Linked DNA regions of Cricetulus griseus. The protein of the gene in region 1 binds, or shares a complex with, the protein of each later gene. Links are inferred from orthologs where the notes say so. Each region holds a gene or a part of one and is shown in the gene's direction. Other genes may lie near its edges.

Region 1 (4,161 bases):
GTGATCTGATGTGCCCAGTTTCCAAAACATGACAGGTTCTGTCCTCAGAACGCCTACACAGTACATGGATGGCATGAATCTCTGAAGGATGAGTCCACTTTCCCATTGAAGCCCCTCCTCAGAGCAATACTGAACACCTACTATAGCGTATATTCAGAGAAGACACTACTGGCCCTGCCTTAGGAAGCTCAGAAGCCCAGGTAATTGTGTTTGTGTATGGTTTGTACACTCATGAATGGGTGTGCACTTGAGTGCTCAATACCTATGAGGGCTTGTTTGAGTATGACCGTGCACTGCACACATGTGACTTTGGGGCGGGTGTATGTGAATGTGTGTAGATGTATGTCTGATCTGTATTAGGGACCGTTGTAGGATGGCTCGGTTTCTACGAATGCCTGAGGATGGTATGGCCCATGTGATCGCATGAGCACACGTACAGGGGAGCTTGAGAGTGCTTTTGTGTAGTCCTGGGGTTTATGTGCACATCTGTGACTCCTCCCAGCTCATGATAGGATGTCTGCATGGCATGTGTGAGGTCCTAGGTTCAATCGTGTGTGTGTGTGTGTGTGTGTGTGTGTGTGTGTGTGTGTGTGAGAGAGAGAGAGAGAGAGAGAGAGAGAGAGAGAGAGAGAGACAGACAGACAGACAGACACAGAGACAGAGAGACAGAGACAGAGAGACAGAGAGACAGAGAGAGAGAGCAAATTATGACACTGGGATAGATTCCACCTTGAATGTCCCAAGGAACACCTCACTCCACAAGTGAGAAGCTGTAGACAGTATGGAATAGGTGTAGACCTAATCATGAAAGAAGGGCAGCTGCATTCCCGGAATGAGGGGTAGGTAGGGAACTAGGAACCCAGGGGCTGAAGAAGATATTTTAGAGAGTGAACCCTAAGGCAGACCTCATCAGTAGGAGAGCAATGCTCCCCACTCCCCCCCCACCCCGCCGCCCCGCTGGATCCAGAGCATCCTACGCTGATGCTCAGCGTAACCGGCAGTGCACTGGGCATGTGGGACAGACAGACCGCGGAGAAGCCGCAGCGGGGCACACGGGCGGGCGCGGCTCCCCGCACGCCTTCCTTGGCTGCTCCGGACTCCCCACCTCGAAGCGGCCTGGCGGCCGGGCGGGCGCGGTTCCGGAGGGGTGGGGTGGGGGGTTGGGCGGGCTGGGCGGGAGGAGGCGGGGCTGCTGCACTGCCTTTACCCAGCTGCGCCCGCCTGCCCGTAGCCAGAGCGAGCGTAGCCTCCGCCAGCTCCGGCGGGCAGCGGGCGCTGGAGCTTAGCGCAGCTCAGCGCAGCCCATCGGCCCGCAGAGCGGACTGAGCTAGAAGCGAAGCGCTGTCGCCAGAGGCAAGCGATGAGGGCAGGTGCTGCCTGCAGCGCCATGGACCAGTCGCGCCTGCTGCTGCTGCTGCTGCTGCTAGGGGTAAGTGGTAGCAGGAGGGACGCCTGTTAACCTTTTCCAGGAACCGAACCCCAAGGGGATCCCAGTGCCACCACCCAGGAAACAGAATAGGACATCAAGGTCCCAGATGCTGGGAACCGGTGGCGGAGGAGCTGCGATACCGTGATCCACAGGGGCGCTTCTAGCTCTTGGGACTTTCAGAGAGCAGAGGAGACCCAGTCCCAGAATAGAGATGCGGACAGGACCGTGGCACCGATGCTGGTCCTTGGTGCTGCTGCTGCTACTGGTCTTTGGGTACTGCGCTGGGGACGGTGTAGGGGACTGGGGGGGGGGTCTCTCGGGAGGAGGTTTAGGAATCACGGGCGCCTGGGTTCTTTTGACGACGGCGTGTGAATTCTGGGATCCCGAGAGGACTTTTCCCTTTTCCATCTTAGTCCTTGGGGAGTTGTAGGACAGAACCGAGGAGAGAAAGGAGGGGGATGAGAGCAGCGCTAGAGATGTGAGGGGCTAGCGAAGGAACAATGGGGGAGGCGCTGGGCTGGAGGGACTGGAGGCAGAGGGGACCCGGCACGGACAATGGGGACCGGCCAGACAATGGGGGGGAGGGGCGTCTAAAGGAGCGATTCGGGAGTGGCAGAGAGGTTGAAGAGCTAGAAGTGGGTTTAAAGGAGGGCAGAAAAAAGACTGCCACTAAAGAGGTAGAGAGATAGAAAGCGGTGCGTATCCTAAAGTGCTCGGGGCCCCGCCTGCCTACTCAAGGGCAGTGGGACAAGGACGGCCGAGACACAGACGTTTCCCGCGTGGGTTCTAGCGCTCTTTCTCGCGGCCTCGCCCAGTCCGGGAATTGCATCTGGGCATCCCAGGCTGGGAAGGGAGCGCTCACTTCACTGGGGCAAATCCGCTGCCGGAGTGGATCCCTGGCAAGCCTTTTCTCGCGGTTTGGAACAACACGGTGGACCCGGAGAGACAGAGCCGGCAGCCCCCTACCCTATCTGACGCCGGGATGCGGAGCGCTGGGACGCTCCAGGCGGCGACTGTTGCTCGGGGAATGCACAAACCCCAGGCGACCCGCAGGGGGCACTGCGGGGTGCGGGACGGCTGTTCACAGCTGCGTGCGCGCCTGGGGCTGCGCACTGCGCCCCTTCTAAGTTAAGCAACCCCCGGGCCCGGTGCCATTTGCGCTCCTTCCTGTCCAGATCTTAATAGGGTCATCATCACGCACACATCTGGCTAGGCTTCGATAAAAGTCAATGAACCCTTCTCCAATGCGACAGGGGTCGCTTGGATGCCTGGGATTCTGTCGGATTGTTGTTCAGAGGCACCAATTCCAGCTAGGTCGTCAGATCTTGCTAAGAACCCGAGGACTCTGGGTACTTCTGATCAGATCTTAAGAAAGGTTGGCAATGGAAGTGGCGCCACCCTCCACCTTTTTCTTCCTCTGAGCACTGTGCCCCCAAAACTCTATTTTACTGACAAGGGAGGCGTGTAAACAAGTTGGCCAAGACCTCACAAGCAAGTTGGGCCAGAGTTCTGTGGCTGGATGCCCCCCCCACTTCACTCCAGCTCTGTGGCTCTCTCTACTCAAGGGTGCAGCTGTGGGCGGTCAACTTCGTTTCACAGCAGGGATGGGGGTGGCACCATCCCAAGGATAGGCAGAGGTGGGCTATGGAAGCAGAGGATGGAGAACCTATTCAAACTCGGATCCCAACCTCAAAGTTCAAACCTGGTTCCCTGGAGCTGTCAGTACCTGTGGCTTCCTCCGGGGTTTTGGGAGTGGCTGCAAGGGTGTTTGCTGACTAACGTCCCTGGTTAGAGATGCCTCGGGAGCTGTGTGGTGCTCATCCTGGAGAGGTGAGGGCGTGGCCTCTGGACCTGGGCAGGAGGATATCCCTGAGTTCAGAAAAGGCGAGCAAGGGAGGAGAGCTGGGCCTTGAGGCCTTAGCAAGGTGAACCGGGCACAGAATCTTCGGGCCTGAGCCCCCGGGACTCTACTTTTCACCTCCACCCCAGATTGTTCGGTGCGAGCCAGTTCAGCGGTCCGAGCCTCTTCCTGCGCCGCTGAGAGAGTACTGAAACCAGAGCGCGTCCCGGCGAGTCTGCTGGCGGGCCGAGCCGGTAATGGAGGCACTTTGTCATTCAGACGTCTGTAACCGGAGCCTCCGGGCTGGCTAATGCTCCTAATAGGGATGCAGCAGCGTAGGCAGTAAATGGGCAGCGTGAGCGTCGGGGCTGGCGTGGAGGGTGGATGGTGAGGCGGCTCCCGAGGGAAAAGCCTCCACCCTACCTGGTCAGCCCCTTCTGGTTCCAACACCTGGCTTCCTCCCTAGGGGATGAATTGGAAGAGAGGATATAGGCTATAATAACTTTTGTGAAGTGCCTACTCTGTGACCTGCACTGTCCCTAAGTACTTTTACTGTATATACGTACTCCTTAGGTCCCAGAAAGGTAAATTTAGTTATTCCCATTTTACAGGTGAGGAAGCTGACCCCCAGGAAACTTAGGCGGGACACCTGGCTCCCCCAGTCGAAAAGCAGAGGTGGCCTGTAGGAAGCTGGGGAGTCAAGGCTTTGGTCTTTCCTCCTCATGCGCAGTTCCTTTTCAGCTTCCCTTCCACTTACAGATCATGAAAGGGGGTGTGGTCCTGAACTGCCACTGACTGGGTGGGTTAGACTCTGCCCTGTGCCTCTGAGCTGAGCCACTCCCCTGCTCCAAGTGAGCAGAGCCCTAGCTTCTCTTCAAGTCTCCACAAGGCA
Region 2 (4,008 bases), on another chromosome or scaffold:
CCAAGAACACATACTTCTAAACTGTAGACTTGTAAAACTATGAAGAACTAAAGTTTAGGAAAGAATGTGTGGATGATATATATATTTTACACTATTCATAAAAGGGACACAATTACAGAGTTTAGTATCCAGGTAGGGATAGGATTACAGAACTAAATGGCACACAAATATGAGGTACTAAATTTGTGCCAAACATCCCACTGAACAGTCATCTAAGTAGAAAGGTGTTTTAAGTAAAAAGATGGAATAGTGATTGGGTTTTGGTAGTCTTTTTTGTTTGTGTGGGGTTTTGTTGTTATTTTGGAGTGTTTTGTTTTGTTTTTGTTTTAGATAGCAGCCTTCCCAAACACAAGAAATGGTGGTTTTTCAATTTGTCCGTAGGCTTTGGAGAATAAAAACAGCAAGTTTCCTGGTAGAGGAGCATGTCACAGGGGCTAAACACCTCAATTTGTCACACTGTGACAGTGCTTACCTCTCCACCTCACTCCTGAAGTGGTAGTCACCGAGTGCCAGCAGATGGTTATCGCTCAGGAAGTGGGACGATATAGATGTCACCGAGCTCCCCAGCAGGAGTCACCCCCACCCCATCACTTCTGGGGTTTGGAGACTAAGGCAGACACCAGGCCAAAGGAAAATCCGGCGTGGACGCCACTGCAGGGACTTTCCCCAGAGGAAAAGTGCTCCAGGCCTGAGCAGAGCCACAGGGCTGAGAGGGAGGGGGAGCTGAGTCCCCCACTCTGCTGACGTTACCCAGGAGCCTGCTGAGGGAGGAGCCTGCAGAGGGAGGAGCCTGCGGAGGGAGGAGCCTACGGAGAGAGGAGTGGACAGAGGGAGGAGCCTGCAGAGGGAGGGATGGAGGGAGGGGCCTGCAGGGGGAGGAGCCTGCAGAGAGAGGAGCCTGAGGAGAAAGCCAAAAGAAGCAGGCGCCTACGGAGAGAGGAGCCTGCAGAGGGAGCCGCCTGCAGAGGGAGGAGCCTGCGGAGAGAGGAACCTGCGGAGGGAGGAACCTGAGGAGGGAGAAGCGAAAGGAGGAGTCTGCGGAGAGAGGAGTCTGCGGAAGGAGGAGTCTGAGGAGGGAGGGGCCGCGGGTAGAAGAAGTAGGCTGAGGAGATGGGTGGAGGGAGGAAACCGCAGAAAGAGAAGCAGGGGAGGGAGGGGTCCGCGGAGGGAGGAGCGCGGAAGGAGGAGGAGTGCGGAGAAAGGTCCTCCCTGGCGCGGCCGCAGACGGACGGACTCCCAGGGACAGTCGCCCGGCCGGAACTGCAGCGGCCACGCGGGAATGGGCCGCCCGGCGACCTGACGCCGCACTGCACCGGCCACCGCCAGGATCTAGCGGAGCCGCCGCTCAGCTAGAGCCATGAACGGGGACGCCATCTGCAGCGCACTGCCTCCCATCCCCTACCACAAGCTCGCCGATCTGCACTACCTCAGCCGCGGCGCCTCGGGCACCGTGTCGTCGGCACGCCACGCGGATTGGCGCGTGCGAGTGGCCGTGAAGCACCTGCACATCCACACGCCGTTGCTCGACAGGTAGGGTGCAGCCGCGGGGCCCCACGCAGACGCGGGCCCGCACGGCCACAGTCCGGCCACACTGACCGTGATGCGCCAGCTCCCCGCAGCTGCCAGTTCTTATCCCTGGGGCTATCTTGGTCCAAGGGAGAAACTGCCCTGGACGTGCGTCAGAGTTTCCAACTCGCCTCTCCTCCCATCCGAGGTGTCCGCTCTCTCCTCCAAAAACATGCAATCACGGCCACCTCTAAAAGCCTGTTTATTGAACCCGACGTGTGTTGGTACAGTGCATGTGGGCTTAGCTCTATTTTTAGCTAGCTGTTAGCCACAAGAGCCGTGGAACTCATGAAACTGGGCTTTGGAAATGAAATATGTAGTGAGTGCAAAATACACACCAGATTTTGAATATTTAGTACTAAAAAATGTACCAGTGTTTTTATATTAACTACATGTGAAAATATTTTCTAGGGTTGTATGTGTGTTTCACTCCATATTTATCAGTGCTACTCCAGAGCCTGCATGTTTTGCTTTGATCAGATTGGTTTTATCTTGTTTGTGGCTTATTACATGCAGTCATGAAGTTCAGATATCAAACTCTACATTAGCCATTGTTATTCGAGCTCTTACTTTGGAAGTCCTCAAAGGAAGTGTGTGCTTTTTTTTGTAACAGTAAATTGAAATCAAAGATTGTTAAATGGTCAAAATTTGTGAATATAAAAAAATGTGATTGCCTCACATTCTGATATTATTTGAGTCCAGTTTCCACATCAGGAAAAAAAAATAGCCTTGGTTTCTGTTTCCGGGAAACATTGCAACTAAATACCATGGATCTGTGACTGTACGTGTTAGTCAAAGAGTCTGGTCAGTACTCTTGTGTGTTTTCCTTCCGGAATTCATTCAGTTCTTAATGCACTAACATCCGTAGTTGCAACGTTCTCTTCTCCTGCATCTTGAGTGAAAATACAAAATTCATAGCGGCCCCATTGGCCAGAGGCTGTTAATGTCTGGTGTAAGGTCATATCCAGCATCAGAGACCTCTCTTGTCTTCAGCCCAGCTAGAATATTGGACTTTCATCTGCCTGTAGTAGCTTTTATCCCCCCACCATGGGCTAGATCACATTGAAGTTTGGAACACTAAAACTTTCTGTGTACCATGATCCAGATTCAGATACTGGGCCTTATAGTCGGTGGAGCTAGTGCTGGGTAAAGTGTGTTTGTCTGGGATCGACTTTAAAGGGAGGCTGGCTAGAAGCCAATTAAACAAATATTCTGTGGATATGTAGCACTAGTAGACCATTGAGTATACCAAAGTGATTTCTCACTTTGGATTCTGCTTTCCAAGGTTTTTATTTACAAAAGTGTTATGCTTTTTGTGGGCCAAGCGACAAAGATGGTGATGCTTTCCCATTTTCACCAACCACATCATCGTATAATTTCATTGAATTGGATAAAAAATTATCTTTCTAAGACCAACAAAATCCTGTGACCTTACTGCATTTCATTCTTTTCTCTTGTTGCCTAAGATCTTAACAAGTGCATAAGCGTAGGCTTATGCAATTGACTTGGGTGTCTTATTTCCTCACTTATAAAATATGAATTATAAACACGTACGTACGTATATTTGTTGTGCTCTATCTAGTATAGATAAAGTGCCCATTGTTCTTTAAGATGACCTGAGAGGAAAATAAATTTTTGTGACGTGGCATATTATTTTAATGATTAATGAGTCATTCTCTGTAGCCAATGAGTGGGCCTAACATAGCAGACTTCCTACCTTAATGGATAGATGACTCCACTTGGTACCTTAGAGATGGGGTAACTGTTTCCTATTGAAATTTTGAGTTGGGTAATTTTGGTGATATAATCATTGAAACTGTCTTTTACATTTTTAGCTTTTTTTAATCTTTTAGTTTTATTTCCCCCCTTAGTCTTGTTGAAATCTAACCTTATAAACTGTCCAACTTGCTTTCCTGGTCAAACAACAGACTAGGAAAAACACAGACCTTAGAGTACCAGGACTACAATTTGAATCTGACTTTAATCCTGTTGCTTTGTTTGGTTGTGGTCACCAGAGGATCATTTATTTCTCCGACTCTGGGTGTCCCTGTATGTAAAGTGGAGGTAATGGAGCCAGCTTTAGAGAGGCAATTGAACAGTTAGTGTTTATAAAGTGGCTGACAGGAAGGAAGAATACATCAGACTTTTTCATGTGTGTGCGCATGTGTGTTTGTGTTCGTGTATACACACATGTTGTACGTACTGGTCCATGTGCATGATAAGGAAGCCAGGGGTCAACTTCAGGTATTGTTCCTCAGGACCACCATTTATCTCAGGGGCAGGTTAGTGTTTCAGAGTGTTTTATTGTTGTCGACTTTTTTATGTGGATTCTGAGGAATCAAACTCAGATCCTCCTGTTTGTGTAACAACCACTTCACCAGCTGTACTGTCTTCCAACCCCTTGTTTCATACTGTGGACAGGAGGAGGAAAGGGGATCTTAT
Region 3 (4,088 bases), about 24 Mb from region 1:
GTTTGCGTGCGTGTGTCTCTCTGTGTGTGTCTCTGTGTGTGTGTCTGTGTGTGTCTGTGTGTGTGTGTCTGTGTGTGGTGTGCGTGCATGTCTGTGCGTGTGTGTCTCTGTGTGTGTGTGTGTCTGTGTGTGTGGTGTGCGTGCATGTCTGTGCGTGTGTCTCTGTGTGTGTGTCTGTGTGTGTGTGTGTGGTGTGCGTGCATGTCTGTGTGTGTGTGTGTGTGTGTGTCTGTGTGTGGTGTGCGTGCATGTCTGTGCGTGTGTGCGTGTGTGTCTCTGTGAGGGTGTGTGTGTGGTGTGTGTGTGCGTGCGTGTGTGTCTGTGTGTGTGTCTCTGTGTGTGTGTGTCTCTGTCTGTGTGTGTGTGTCTGTGTGTGTGTCTCTGTGTGTGTGTGTGTCTGTGTGTGTGTGTGGTGTGCGTGCATGTCTGTGCGTGTGTGCGTGTGTCTCTGTGTGTGTGGTGTGTGCGTGTGTGTCTGTGTGTGTGTCTCTGTGTGTGTGTGTCTGTCTGTGTGTGGTGTGCGTGCGTGTGTGTGGTGTGCGTGTCTGTGTGTGTCTGTGTGTGGTGTGCGTGCGTGTGTGGCAAGCGGACTCCATCACAGAGGAAGAGTGGGGACAGTCAAGTGGTGACAGCGTTTGGTTTTGCAGTAGTTTGCCACTGAGCAGCAGGGAGAGGACACTGCGGAGCCATCTTCCTCGGACGAAGAAAACAGTGCATGAAACGGTTACGCTTGAAAGGACACCTGGCTTGCTTCAGAGTTGGGGATGCGTGGCCAGGGGAACAAGTGCTCGCGTGACGTAACGAGGCCGTAAACGTGGCGGATGAACGGCGGGCGACTGTTTCCCTCCAGTCATCTTTTCAGCGCGGTGGCGGACGCCCAGGGCGGCAGCGGTGCTGGCTCTCGTCCCTGCGGAGGCTCCTGCCCGTCTCGGGGTGAGCCGGCCCCGCGGGGCGCGGCGAGGGGAACTCGTGGGGACCCCAGAGGGCCACGGCCCGCGAAGCCACGCGCCCGGCGGCGCGAGCGTGCGTGCGTGCGTGCGTGCGTGCGGCGCTGCCATCTCTGCGTTGCAGGGACAATGGGGGACGAGGCCCGGGCGCGGCGGCCGCGGAACCCGGGCGGCAGAGCGGCCGCCCCGGAGCCCAAGGGCCCGGGCCTCGGCCCACACGCGCCGCGGACGCCCCTCGATGCCCCGCGCGACGCCGCCGGCCCACGCGCGACGCGCCCACGAGGCCGGCCGCAAAATGGCGGCGGCGCCGACCGGCGCCCCCTGCCGGCGCATGCGCACGGCGCCCCCCGCCCGCACGCCCGCGAGAGCGGAAGTCTTGTGACCCCGGAAGTGACCGTCCGGGCGGCGGGCGGCGGACGACGTTCGTCACTTGGTGCGGGAGGGAGCGCGAGAGCGACGGTCGAGCCTCCGGTGAGTGGCGCGCTGCCTGGCGCGGGGCGGCGCGCGAGGGGAGGGGGCTGGCTTTGTGCGGCGACCCCGGCGCTCGCGGGCCGGCGGGCGGGCGGGCGTGCGGCGGGCCCCGGGCGAGCGCGGGCGGCGGGCGCGGTCACGGCAGCGGGCGGGCCGGGCGCCTTCTAGGTCCTGCCCGAAGCGCCGCCGCTGCCCGGGCCTGGGCGCCGCGTCCCGGTCCCGGGTCCGGGTCCCGGTGCGGGTCGGGGGCGGGGGCGCCCTTTCCCGGCCGCGCGGGCGGGGTCCGGCCTGGGGCCCGCCCGGCCTGCCGCTCCCGCCGCGCGGCCCCCCCCGCCCTCCCGGATTGCGGGCCCTGCGGAAGCGCGGGCCGCGCCCTGGATGCTGTCGCCCGCGGCCACGCTTGGCCGCGTCGGGCGGGGCCTCCGGGACCCTCCGGGTGTCGGGCCGGCGCTCCCCCCGAGTCTCTGGCGCACGCCTCCCAGAGGGGCGGCGGCTGCCCCGACCGCCGCGCATCGCCTGCAGGGCTCGAGTGGGTGTCTGGGGGACGGGTGGGGATCTGCGGAACTGAAAGGCACCGAGGCGCTTCCGTCCCGGCGTGGTTCCGCACCGCCACAGACGCTTTAGGACCAGGGTCCAGCAATGGGCTCCTGAGATTTATTTTGCAACCGGTGCACCAGCTCCCACTCTGCGTTCGCGGACCCCTCACAAGGGAGGTCGGGCTTGCATATTTACCGTCTCATTTGGTCGCCACGCAGTTGAGCTTAGGACGGTATTCCACCGGCAGGAAGGAACAGACCCTTGTCCTGCACGTGGCTAGGACACAGAGCATCCCCGTTTCAGAGAACTTCTCCCCGTGACCCAGTGAGAGTGTCTTTGGGTTAGATCCCGGGCATCTAGGGGCAGCAGCAGGACCCACGTGGTTTAACGTTGCTTCTCCCAGTTCCGTTTGGTCAGGAGGCTACTCATTCTTCATGGGGAGGAAAGCTGTTCTGCTTCTCTGAGGAACGGGCTGTGGTCCCCATTTTGTGGCTTCATGGTGTGCCTGGGGTGTAGCCCTCTCAAACGAGCCTCTTGAGTTAGTTGGGCAGTGGCAGCGCCTCCTATCTCCTCTAAAAGTTGCCCTGGCGTGGCTACCTCCATCATTTCCCGGCAGGTGTCAGGGTCCCTCTAGGTTGCAATGCCTCCGGGCTGTCACCGCTCTGCTCGCTGCCCACCCACAGGTATCCCAGGTTAGAGGTGAGCATGGCAGAACAGGAGCCCACCGCTGAGCAGCTTGCGCAGATCGCGGCCGAGAATGAGGAGGATGAGCACTCTGTCAACTACAAGCCCCCAGCCCAGAAGAGCATCCAGGAGATCCAGGAACTGGACAAGGATGATGAGAGCCTTCGAAAGTATAAGGAGGCCCTGCTGGGCCGAGTGGCTGTCTCTGCAGGTAGGTGGATGTCACCTGACCCTGTCACCACCCCCTTTCCAGTCTGCCCCCCTCCTTCCAGGGAGTTAAAAAAAATCTAAGGAATGGAGCTCTTGATTCATGACTCTTGCTCTCCAGACCCCAATGTCCCCAATGTCATTGTGACCCGCCTGACCTTGGTGTGCAGCACGTCCCCGGGCCCTCTGGAACTGGACCTGACAGGTGAGTGGGTTTTGGAGTCCCTGGGTGGGGCCAGCTGGCATCCAGCCGCTGCCCCTAAAAATAATTTTCTGCACTGGTGCCCTCTGGTGGGGCAGGGGGGAAAGTGCAGCTAGGTGCTCTCCAAGGCCCTGCTTTGTGTCACGGAAGGGGCTGTGGAAAGGGAACGTGGGGGCAGGATGGAAAGCCTCCAGGCAATTGGCTGTGCCTCCTCCCCATACAGGTGATCTGGAGAGCTTCAAGAAACAGTCGTTTGTGTTGAAGGAAGGTGTGGAGTACCGGATAAAAATCTCTTTCCGGGTAAGGTGGAGGATTGGAGAGGCCTGGCAGAGGGGCAGAGCATCAGCACTGGGGGGCCGGCTGACCCTTGCTCTGTGTCCCCACAGGTGAACAGAGAGATCGTGTCAGGCATGAAGTACATCCAGCACACATACAGGAAAGGGGTCAAAAGTAAGTGGTCGTACCGATAGAGTGGGAAGCCTGTGGGTCCCGGGAGGGGCTTGCGTGGCCACTAACCATGCCTTTCCTGTCCACACCACAGTCGACAAGACCGACTACATGGTCGGGAGCTATGGGCCCCGGGCTGAGGAGTATGAGTTCCTGACACCCATGGAAGAGGCCCCCAAAGGCATGCTCGCTCGGGGCAGCTACAACATCAAGTCCCGATTCACAGACGATGACAAGACGGACCACCTGTCCTGGGAATGGAACCTCACCATCAAAAAGGAGTGGAAGGACTGAGCTCCAGCTGGGAGGCGGGCAGGGCGGCGGACAGACAGAAGGACCGACATGCCCCACCCCCAACCCCTACCCACCCCAAACCAAAGTGCTGACAGGACCCTCCCTCACCATTCCTCCCCTCTTCTGTCTGCCCCTCCTCCACCTCCTGCCTGCAGGCCCCTGTGGTCTCCAGTGTTGTCACATTGCTGCTTCTGCCTGTGCAGTGGGGGAGGGGTTTCAGCCCAGGCCTCCAATCTGCTGTGTCCCCCAGGTTTCCTCTGTCGTCCCTTCCTCAGGCCCTGGCTTCTAGAATGGAATGG

The links. The genes of interacting proteins can lie anywhere in the genome.
Region 2: the proteins of Ngfr (region 1) and Ripk2 are in contact, whole or in part, in an NMR structure (PDB 2N83), measured with the Homo sapiens proteins. The link is inferred for Cricetulus griseus from reciprocal best matches to the Homo sapiens genes NGFR and RIPK2. Residues at the interface, in NP_002498.1 of Homo sapiens: Gly334, Leu335, Ser338, Leu339, Pro340, Lys343, Val347, Ser354, Ala355, Asp357, Arg360, His361, Gly364, Glu365, Tyr368, Pro370, Ile373, Asp374, Leu398, Asp399, Leu401, Leu402, Arg406, Arg407, Ile408, Gln409, Arg410, Ala411, Asp412, Val414; in NP_003812.1 of Homo sapiens: Gln437, Ser465, Arg466, Asp467, Leu468, Met470, Glu472, Asp495, Ile496, Gln497, Gly498, Glu499, Glu500, Lys503, Ile523, Leu524, Val526, Ser527, Arg528, Ser529, Pro530, Ser531, Leu532, Asn533, Leu534, Gln536.
Region 3: the proteins of Ngfr (region 1) and Arhgdia are in contact, whole or in part, in an NMR structure (PDB 8X8T), measured with the Homo sapiens proteins. The link is inferred for Cricetulus griseus from reciprocal best matches to the Homo sapiens genes NGFR and ARHGDIA. Residues at the interface, in NP_002498.1 of Homo sapiens: Arg274, Trp275, Ser277, Cys278, Lys279, Gln280, Lys282, Gln283, Gly284, Ala285, Ser287, Arg288, Pro289, Val290, Asn291, Gln292, Thr293, Pro294, Pro295, Pro296, Glu299, Lys300, Leu301, Ile307, Ser308, Val309, Gln312, Ser313, Asp316, Gln317; in NP_001172006.1 of Homo sapiens: Ala8, Glu9, Leu11, Ala12, Gln13, Ile14, Ala15, Ala16, Glu17, Asn18, Glu19, Glu20, Asp21, Glu22, Val25, Pro30, Ala31, Gln32, Lys33, Ile35, Gln36, Glu37, Ile38, Gln39, Glu40, Leu41, Asp42, Lys43, Asp44, Asp45.

The regions. Positions count from the first base shown.
Region 1 is NC_048600.1:108,751,891-108,756,051, reverse strand, and holds the start of Ngfr (tumor necrosis factor receptor superfamily member 16), read left to right. Parts: upstream 1-1,360; coding exon 1,361-1,439; intron 1,440-4,161. UniProt on the Homo sapiens protein: Low affinity receptor which can bind to NGF, BDNF, NTF3, and NTF4. Forms a heterodimeric receptor with SORCS2 that binds the precursor forms of NGF, BDNF and NTF3 with high affinity, and has much lower affinity for mature NGF and BDNF.
Region 2 is NC_048595.1:130,017,808-130,021,815, reverse strand, and holds the start of Ripk2 (receptor-interacting serine/threonine-protein kinase 2), read left to right. Parts: upstream 1-1,203; 5' UTR 1,204-1,357; coding exon 1,358-1,530; intron 1,531-4,008.
Region 3 is NC_048600.1:133,068,175-133,072,262, reverse strand, and holds Arhgdia (rho GDP-dissociation inhibitor 1), read left to right. Parts: upstream 1-1,283; 5' UTR 1,284-1,418; intron 1,419-1,982; exon of another isoform or gene 1,983-2,131; intron 2,132-2,638; 5' UTR 2,639-2,660; coding exon 2,661-2,850; intron 2,851-2,967; coding exon 2,968-3,051; intron 3,052-3,271; coding exon 3,272-3,348; intron 3,349-3,434; coding exon 3,435-3,498; intron 3,499-3,589; coding exon 3,590-3,789; 3' UTR 3,790-3,874; downstream 3,875-4,088. UniProt on the Homo sapiens protein: Controls Rho proteins homeostasis. Regulates the GDP/GTP exchange reaction of the Rho proteins by inhibiting the dissociation of GDP from them, and the subsequent binding of GTP to them.